2 linked regions of the Xenopus tropicalis genome follow. The protein of the gene in region 2 purifies or fractionates together with the protein of the main gene of each other region. This does not show direct contact. Links are inferred from orthologs where the notes say so. Each region holds a gene or a part of one and is shown on either strand. Other genes may lie near its edges.

The links.
Region 1: the proteins of nfya (region 2) and ep300 purify together in Homo sapiens (affinity purification with western blotting, with the first as the bait; 3 studies listed by BioGRID). This does not show direct contact. The link is inferred for Xenopus tropicalis from reciprocal best matches to the Homo sapiens genes NFYA and EP300.

Annotation. Positions count from the first base shown.
Region 1 is NC_030680.2:115,938,612-115,942,896, forward strand, and holds the start of ep300 (histone acetyltransferase p300), read right to left. Parts: upstream 2,930-4,285; 5' UTR 1,784-2,929; coding exon 1,696-1,783; intron 1-1,695. UniProt on the Homo sapiens protein: Functions as a histone acetyltransferase and regulates transcription via chromatin remodeling. Acetylates all four core histones in nucleosomes. Histone acetylation gives an epigenetic tag for transcriptional activation.
Region 2 is NC_030678.2:71,402,103-71,406,648, reverse strand, and holds the start of nfya (nuclear transcription factor Y subunit alpha), read left to right. Parts: upstream 1-1,743; 5' UTR 1,744-1,811; intron 1,812-4,546. UniProt on the Homo sapiens protein: Component of the sequence-specific heterotrimeric transcription factor (NF-Y) which specifically recognizes a 5'-CCAAT-3' box motif found in the promoters of its target genes.

The sequences.
Region 1 (4,285 bases), on a different chromosome or scaffold from region 2:
GTACCCTGTAGCCTTCAGTTTTGCCTTCCCTGTAACTAAGAACCATAGCCAAAGCCATTTCCCTTCTCCACCAAACTTTACTCTCATTATTACACATTCAAGTAAACCCACACTCGACTGTCCAGATGGTGAAGCACAATACATCACTCCACAGCATGGGTTAGCACTGATCTGAGTCTGCTGATTCCAATGGCAGCAGCCTTAAAGCCATTCCAGCAAGATCTTGGGATAGTAACAGCGATGTTGGACTTTTGTGCAGCTGCTCCTGATGAACAGTTATTACACTGACATTTCTTCTAGGGACTGTAGTGAGTGCTCTAACTTACAATTTTAGGAGTGTCCAGATACTTCTGGCTATGTAGTATACTCTTATGATATTGCTGAGCAAAGTGAAGTCTATGTAACTTTATAACATGGGTACCAGGAAAGTTTCCCTTAGTCATAGCCAGAAAATATATATTTCTGGTACAAGGTAAAAAAAAAAAGGTACGCTGTGAATTATTGCTCCTTTTCAATCTCAGATGTACACTGGGACCGAACAATTCTGCCAGAAGGCTGTTTCAAAACAAGCTGTGCTTGTTTTACATAAACAGTATAATTTACAAAGATAGAGTAGTAGTGTAATGTAAAGGGAATGTTTTAAAAAGCAAACTTCTGAATTAAAAAAAAAAGTCCACTGCTATTTTTTATACCATCACCTATATGCCAGTTACCTTATCTGCGATTAGGTGCATTTGTTTGGGACAAAAAATAAATGAATAAAAAGCTATTAAAAATGTAAGTGCAGCAAACTACAAATCAAATAAATCACAACCATTTTTTTTACAGGACAGAACCCCAGCAAAAAAGAAAAAAAAATCCAGGGGTGTCTGATTTACAAGTATAGTACAAAAGAAGTTTGCAAAGAGAATTTGTGCTGTAAAAGTTGCAACCTTTGAAACTGAACTTGTTCTGGTGTGATGTGTCCTAACACTTGAGTTCACTATAGCATTCACTAGAATCCCCATATAGGTAATGAAACCATACTAATACCCTTTACTCTCTCCCTTTAAAATGAAGCAGATTTGAATAAAAGCCATGGGAGATATTTAAGGGGTGTCTGTCACTGAGCTGTAAATTGACAGTTTTCAAAACATGATACTTAATTTTTAATCTGGGTGTAAAGTCAATGTTCTGCCATATTTAAGCAAAGGAAAGTGGCTTTTTCTAATTATAAAAGAGCCCTGCAACTTCAGAAGCAACAAAAAAACCATAGCTCAAATGCACAAGAAAAGGCAGCCAAAGTGATACTTTGTTGAACTGTAAAATGAGACAACATACAAAAGGTTGGAGAAAAAGAAACAGGCAGCATAAAATTTATTATACAGATACAATATGACACCAAGTCAATGTAAAGCTAAGAGAGTTGCTGTAAAATCGAGATACACATAACAAACGAACAAAGTCAAAATGACTAGTGAGGCCTATGGCAAACTACGGCAAAAAGTGAACTAAAAATGTTACCATATGATCCTAAAAACTGTACTGCAACAGGAAGAAGGCCACAGATTGGCCATCCCTGATGCTATGGTTAGTTTTAAAGGCTGGCATGCATAGAAACAGCTTAAATGTAGTGTATAGAGGTGTGCAACATGCCCTGGGTGAAGGGTGAGTAGAACCTCATGGGTATGTGGACATTAGATCACAAGAACTGACCTGGAACATCACTGGAAGACAGGGAAGGAGAAGACATCTTGGGCTTCTTGGCCGAAGGGGGCCCAGGATCCACTAAATTTTCAGCCATTGTTGCCAATTGTAGTGATTCAGTTAGCCGATCCAACCCTCACTATTCTGCGTGCAGTCACTAAAAGGCCAGGGGTGCCAGGAGGTGAGCCCTCCCTGCCCCTACCAATGCACTCACTAGACACCCAATGTAGGTAGGCGATCTCCTTCCTCGCTGCTTCAGGTGCTTACGTTCTCCTCTCTCACACAAAAACTGTCCACAACATTCAGGACGCCAACTTCGGCCAAATATCTGGGCCTCTTCTGACCCATCGTCGTCCCCCTACCCCCAATAGTGGGGGGCGATGGGTGAAATTGGAGGAATAGCCCAGGGAGCAGCTTCCCACCACTAAGGAGGCCCTGTGTCTTAAATGGGCTGAAACGAGAGAAGTCAAAGCTGCGAGTAAAGGTGCTGAGAGTGACTAGGGAATAGCGTTCCAGGCGGCTCAGCAGCACTTCCTCGGGCTCTTGCCTTGCTCAGAGGGCGGCATCGCTGCGACTGTATGTGCCGGTGTCACGGCTTTAAACTCAGCCGCTCAAAGGCCGCATCCCCGCCCCCTTTGGGAACGCTTTGGGGGTAGGCGAGCCCTGAAGTACCGGCCCGGGCCCACTGCAAGATCCCGCGGCCTGTCTCACTATAATTGCTTGAATCCCTTCCCCCGCGGCCTCTCCCGCAGTCTCTCAGGAGGGAGGGTCTCCTGCTCGGAACACTCGGCTCAAGGTAGATCGGGGTAACACAGGTGAAGCCGCCGCTTGATGCCGTGAGGCCTAGCTTAACCGGAAATCCTCGTCCCACAGTAGCCGGTGTTACCGCCTTGTCTCTCGGGGGAGCTGAGGGGTCGCAGTAGCCCTAGACTGGTTTAGAAAGAAGACACGGAGACACCGGCCCCAAGGTGTATCTGTTTCCAGAGATGATTCACGGGAAGGCTTGTCTTTGTATCCAGCCTTCCTTCTCCTCCGGTAGCCCTGCGGTTTGTGCTGGACTCCGGCCGGGGCTCCGTCCCTCACACACAAACAAAATGGCGGCTGTTGTTTCTTCACTCGGCCGAGGGAAGCTTCAGTAGCAGCAGCCGGAAACGACGCAAAGCTTCTAGAGGGGGCGGTTCACCTCAAAGGGGAGGTGCACTGATTGACGGGCGGAGCTCCTAAAGACGCCTTTCCATTGGTTACCGCGCACAATGAAATTGAACGATTCAGAAGCAGCGGGTGGGCGGTACAGAGTGGAAGTGCCCTGCTATTGGCTGGCTTTGCTTCCACCGTCTCGTTGCGTCATGTAGGTTTTTTTTTTCCTTAAAGGCAAGTGAGCGGGCAAAGGGGGAATGTTTCCTTCTTCCTCACCCTCCCCCATCAGTTTGGTCATTTTCTGTCGGCGAACAAGTTTGACTAATAAGTAAAAGACGAGAATGTAAGCCATCGTGCCAAACAGGGCAAACAAAGCCTAATAGGCCTTTGTCAGCTCAATATTCGTCCCAACCATTAGCTGGGGTAAAGGGGGAGTCACGTATGGTTAGCAAGGAAGCCAATTCGTGTGTACCATAGAGCATCGACTGCAGGGAACTTACTGGATGTAAATCTGTGAATCATGGTATATGTTGCGATTAGTCCACCTGCGGCTGTTACACCGCGACTCCCAGTGCCATAAGTTCCACAGACATTCACAACTTGGAACACACAATCCGTGCAGGGGAGAGGCCGCGATAACGGGGGTTTAATAAGAGCCACGTAGTCTCCATCTCTGGTCTGGGGCAGCTGTCCGCGCAATGGATTTACCAGATAAAGCGAGTTTAAACGTAGTTTGGCTAAATGGGTCCGTATGACTCGCTGTAATGCAATCTCCAGCCATGGGGTCCCGGTGCGCGGTGCTGTACGTTCAGCAATGCCCGGCCACACCAAAGCGGCTCAGTATAGGGTTGGGCAGAGATGGCATTTTCGGGGACATTAGGCATGTCGAACCTCCAGGTGTACAATTGCACCTCCTAACTTCCCAGCAATACGTTAACACAACATCATTTGTGTCAGAAATAAATGAAGTAGCACGATTTGCTACAATCTATCCATGTACTTTTCTCAGTTTCTCTGGGTAACATGCTTACTCATAAGATACTTATATCTTACTCATAAGATTCTCATACTCACACAATGCTGGTGGGCTGAATGATGGATCATCTTGATTTATATAATACCTGACAAAGGGGACCAAGCTTCCCTTTATTGGCCAGGGCCCTCACCTCTATCCTAGGCAGGGTTGCTACCTGGCCAGCAACAGCAATGCTTGATGTCAAAGTTAATAGTTAAAAAAAAGTCAAAAACGTAGGGAGGCCAGTATTTTTTTCCAGAAAAGTTGGCAACCCTGGATGATTAGAACCCCCATTTTACTGGGACCCCATAGAAGTGTAAAATTTGGGGCCCAATGTGCTATAACATAATGTATTACAGGGATCCCCAACCTTTTTTTTACCCTTGAGCCACACTCAAATGTAAAAAGAGTTGGGAAACAATACAAGCATTAAAAAATGTCCATGAG
Region 2 (4,546 bases):
TTTCTCGTACTTTGCGACAAAAAGCAGGACAATTTGTGTGACAAAATCATATTTGTTGTGCCGAGTACTAAAGTTTCAGATTCATTCAAGCTTTGGTATCATGACTTTCCTTTGGCCAGGTTGGAGCTGCAGAGTGCCATTGAGTCCTATGGGAGGCTTCCAAAATCATGCACAGGAGGATCAAAGTCAGAAAAATTTTCCCGCCGTTTACGATCGTTCGGATACAAAAATTTATAGACTTTTGGATCGCCAATACGATATTATCGTGACTAATATGTTTTTTTCATAAGCATTTTCGTGATATTTCCAATCATCAGAAATTATCGTATCTAATCCGAATTTTACCCATTTCGGAATTTGAACTCGTACTTTGATGAATCAACCCCTATGAGTAATAAAATCTTTAACTTGGTGACACCAGAAATTAACCTTTTTTTTTACATCCATTAACTTTGCATGCTATTAATAATTTTGCCTTAAATGTATTTGCCCAATGTTTGTATATTGCCTATCTGATCCCCCATGTTCCTCTAAGAGGGGGCTGCCATATTTGTGCAGCACAAGTCCGTTAGCATTAGAAGCTGTAACTGAACATGTAACATAAGAAAATAAAATGTAGTAGAATTTTTGGTATGGGTAAAAAAACATCCGATCCCCAGTATTTAAACACCTCAGTGGCAATTGTGTTCACCTATGGATATCAGCTAGCCTGTTATCCATCCCCACTAACCGCGATTAGAAACAATGTAGAGTACATAGTGGGAATACTAGACCCTGATTATAAGATGAACTTTGGACTCAGGAACTTGAAACTTAGGCACTTACTAATTTTCAAGAATGACCCAGTATCCCTAGCAATAACAAAATAAAGACTTGTGGTCCACTAGAGATCACCGGAGGAACCTAAAAGTACAACATGTGAATATACAATATATAGTACAATATGTGAATGCCTGACACCCTCAAAGATACTAAATGTAAAGATTTAGCATCCTTTGAATCCTGGAGAAATTCCCATTAGACATGGGCTATCCATTTTATACAAGAGTCTTTAGGCTTGTAAAAACCTACCTCACATGTATGTATATGGAAATCAAAATTAAAGTCAATTTTTTAAAACAAAGGGGAACTACTGCTCCAGCACGCGACTGCGCATGCACGCCAAAGCACACGCGTTAGGGGGCGGGGCGATGCGGCCGACCGGGTTAGGTTGGCCCCCCCCTGTCCGTAGTCTTTGTGAAAACCACAATTTTTTTGTGGGAACTTACCGAAAACCACAAAAAAATTTATATAATTTTAATGAACTTTTCGCAGACATTTTAAAACGTTCTAGAAGTTAGAAAACAATTGGAAAAAATACAAATTTATCTCTAAAATGTTTAGTAAACGGCCCCTAGGTTTATATACAAATTTTATATTGTGTTATAAAACAGCTTACGAACCACTAGTTTTTATTTTCTTTTAGCTGATTAAGAGGACTTAACACCTACATTAATTTCTTTTTGGTTAACAAGTTTTTTTTAGTTCTCCGGCACATGTCGGAACCCCGAGAAGAAAATATTGCACAAAAGAAAGATCTTTCTTTCTAACAGAAGAACGTTACGGAAAAACATCGAGAGCAGACCCACGCAAGTTCCCACTGTGTAAAACTGAGTTACGCCGACTAGTTCCTCCCACAAAGGTGCTGCGTAATGCGTCACAGCGCTTACGTGCAGTCGTGACGTTAGTCTCGCGTGAGGATACGTGGCGTTGTATTTTTTGTGAAACCAGGATCCTGCTACAAGCGTGCAGTTAACAGCTTTTCGAGAGGTGTAAGTAGCGATCCGGGACTACGGGCTGTTTTAGGAAAGGCTGTACTATTGTGCAATATGCACTTACTTGGGTGACCGGGCCCATTTTTGTCTGGGAACTGCAAATTTCGAAAGAGATGGCGGGAGCTTGGGTTCCTGCATATTCTTTTACCTAAACAGCTTTCCGTACTTCTTGTTTAGTCACTGAACTTTAAGTCCCGCCAAAGCCGATGGTAAAGATCTTTCCGAAGTCTGCAGCTCCCTGACAGCAGGGGGCCGGTATCTAAGTAAGAGCAGTAGTACAGCTTGCCCCTCTTACCCAAAACCCACCTGGCCCGGGAGGACTCCCCTGGCAGCTCTGGTTACTTTCTCCCTCTTTGAAGAACAATGACATTTTTAGATGTATAGATCTTGGAGATAAATTAGATTTTCAAATAGTTTTATGTCCCGTATAACCTATTTATGTTAATGGAGATTAGTCACAAAAGGTAGTGTCATCCCACTAATAAAGATAAAAAAAATCTTAACCAGACTATTTAATATGGACGCTTGCATCCTTTCTGATGTTTGCAAGCTTTTATGAGAATTGCTTATGAGAAGACAGAGTCCATATACCCCATTGTGCCCTGAAATTGACCACTGCTAATGCTGGCTGGTGTGCAGATGCAGGCTGGCCACAGTCCCCACAACCCTGCAATCTTTATTATTGGCTTGGTTGATTACTAGTACATTGGTTCAAACAAAAAACGGCCAGCGTCTGTATGCATAATGGTAGTATTGAGGAAATTTACAAATGTAAATCAGACTCCAGGCCTTAGGCCATAGGAAGTTTTCTTGCAGTCTATTGGTGATTGTTTGCAATGCATAATTATGGTGTAAACTTAATACTCAATAGCTCTACCTATTTCTGAAGATGCTTTGTTTAAATGGGGAATTTTATTTTGTACTTTTGGGAAGTTAAGTGATACTGACACCAACAAATTACTCTTCAAAATATTAATGTACATTAAAACTTACCCATAGGTCATGTTGATTGTTTTTCACTGATACGGCTGCTTTTGTAAGTAATTGTTACTGAAAATTCCTAAACTTGACTGTTGTGCCAAGCTGACTGTCCCTTCCCAACCTGTCAGTTATAGCTTTAATGCTAACGGGCTATTGCTGCACAAATATGGAAGCCCCCTCATAGAGGAGCATGGGGGATCAGATAGGTAATGTAAAAGAACTGCCCAATAATTATATGTAGCATATAAAGATGGTGTTATGATAGATGTGAAAAATGGTTTCATTTCTGGTGTAAGTATCACTTTAGAGATGGACCTCTAGGCAATTTCATTTTCTGTTTTTTTTTTTTTTTTTTTTTTTTTTAATTCCAGTCTGTTGAAATCCCTAATCAAAAAGCTTGTAACTTAAATGTTATTCATATTTTTCAATTGGAATGCTGTTATATGCGCACAGGTCAAATTTGTAAAGCCATGGACATATGAAGATGAAAGACATGTTGACAATCACCCATCAAGCGAGTGCTTGCAATTGCCATTTAAGTAAATTGGAGCATTTTCCTGCCCTCTAGGTCACTAGGTTACTAAATGCAATGGGGTAAAATCATTTGACCTTTAAGGGCTCTGGCACACGAGGAGATTTGTCGCCTGCATTTTATTCCCCCTGGCGCTTTGGCGACAAGTCGCCACGACAATACCCACGAAGAGATTTCATGCGAATTGAGCTCCAGGCGATCTGCTACCCATAGTACACTCAACAGTTAACCCCCCCTCTCATTTTTACTCAATTCGCTCAGAAAAGGGTCTGTGTGCGATTTGAAACAGCAGGCGATTTGAAGTAGCCTCGTATGTTTTGAGGCTGGCGATTTCCATTGATTTAGCATTGGCGTCTTGTCGCCAAATCGCTTTTTTAAAAATCGCCGGCGACAAATCTCCTCGTGTGCCAGAGCCCTAAAGGGCAATGTTTCTGTTGACATTAGTTTTTTGGTAAGTTGCGCACCCCTTGGTTTTATTAACTCTCTTTAGATTTGTAGTAAGACATTGGTTAATTTGATTTGTAGCAGCTTCTCCTGTTTTTGGTTGGTTGGGTTTTGTCAGTCTTCCACATTTTTGGCCTCAGATGCCAGTCTAATTGACAGCACAAGTATTTTCTATATTACATTGCTGCAAAGTCATACAGGTATTAATGCAGTAGGGTTATTAGCTAGGTTATGTTGTATTGATTTCATTGTTCACCTTTTTTTACCTGGAAAGACATAATACATTTTTAGGGTTCAAAAAAGGGACATTACATTAGTTCAGCCTGTACATTTTGGTATATTATATTTTTATTTAAATTTTTTTAACTTGTATTAAGCTGGCCATACACGCACCGATAATATCGTACGAAACCTCGTTTCGTACGATATTCGGTGCGTGTATGGCAAGTCGGCGAGTCGACCGATATCGCAGGAACCTGCTGATATCGGTCGACTCACCGATCGGACCAGTTAAAAGATTTTGATCGGGCGCCATAGAAGGCGCCTGACCAAAATATGCCCTCAGCGCTGAATCGACAGAAGGAGGTAGAAATCCTATTGTTTCTACCTCTTTATCTGCTGTTTCAGCCCTGAATGGTTTGTGGCTGATTGTAAGATCGCAAATCGCCACGTGTGTCGCCACCTTTAGTCTGTGACATTTTAGTTGTGACAATTTTCAGCTTTTTGATGGCTGTATGATAAAAATAAGACTCTAAATTGAAGCTAGTTTGTTTAT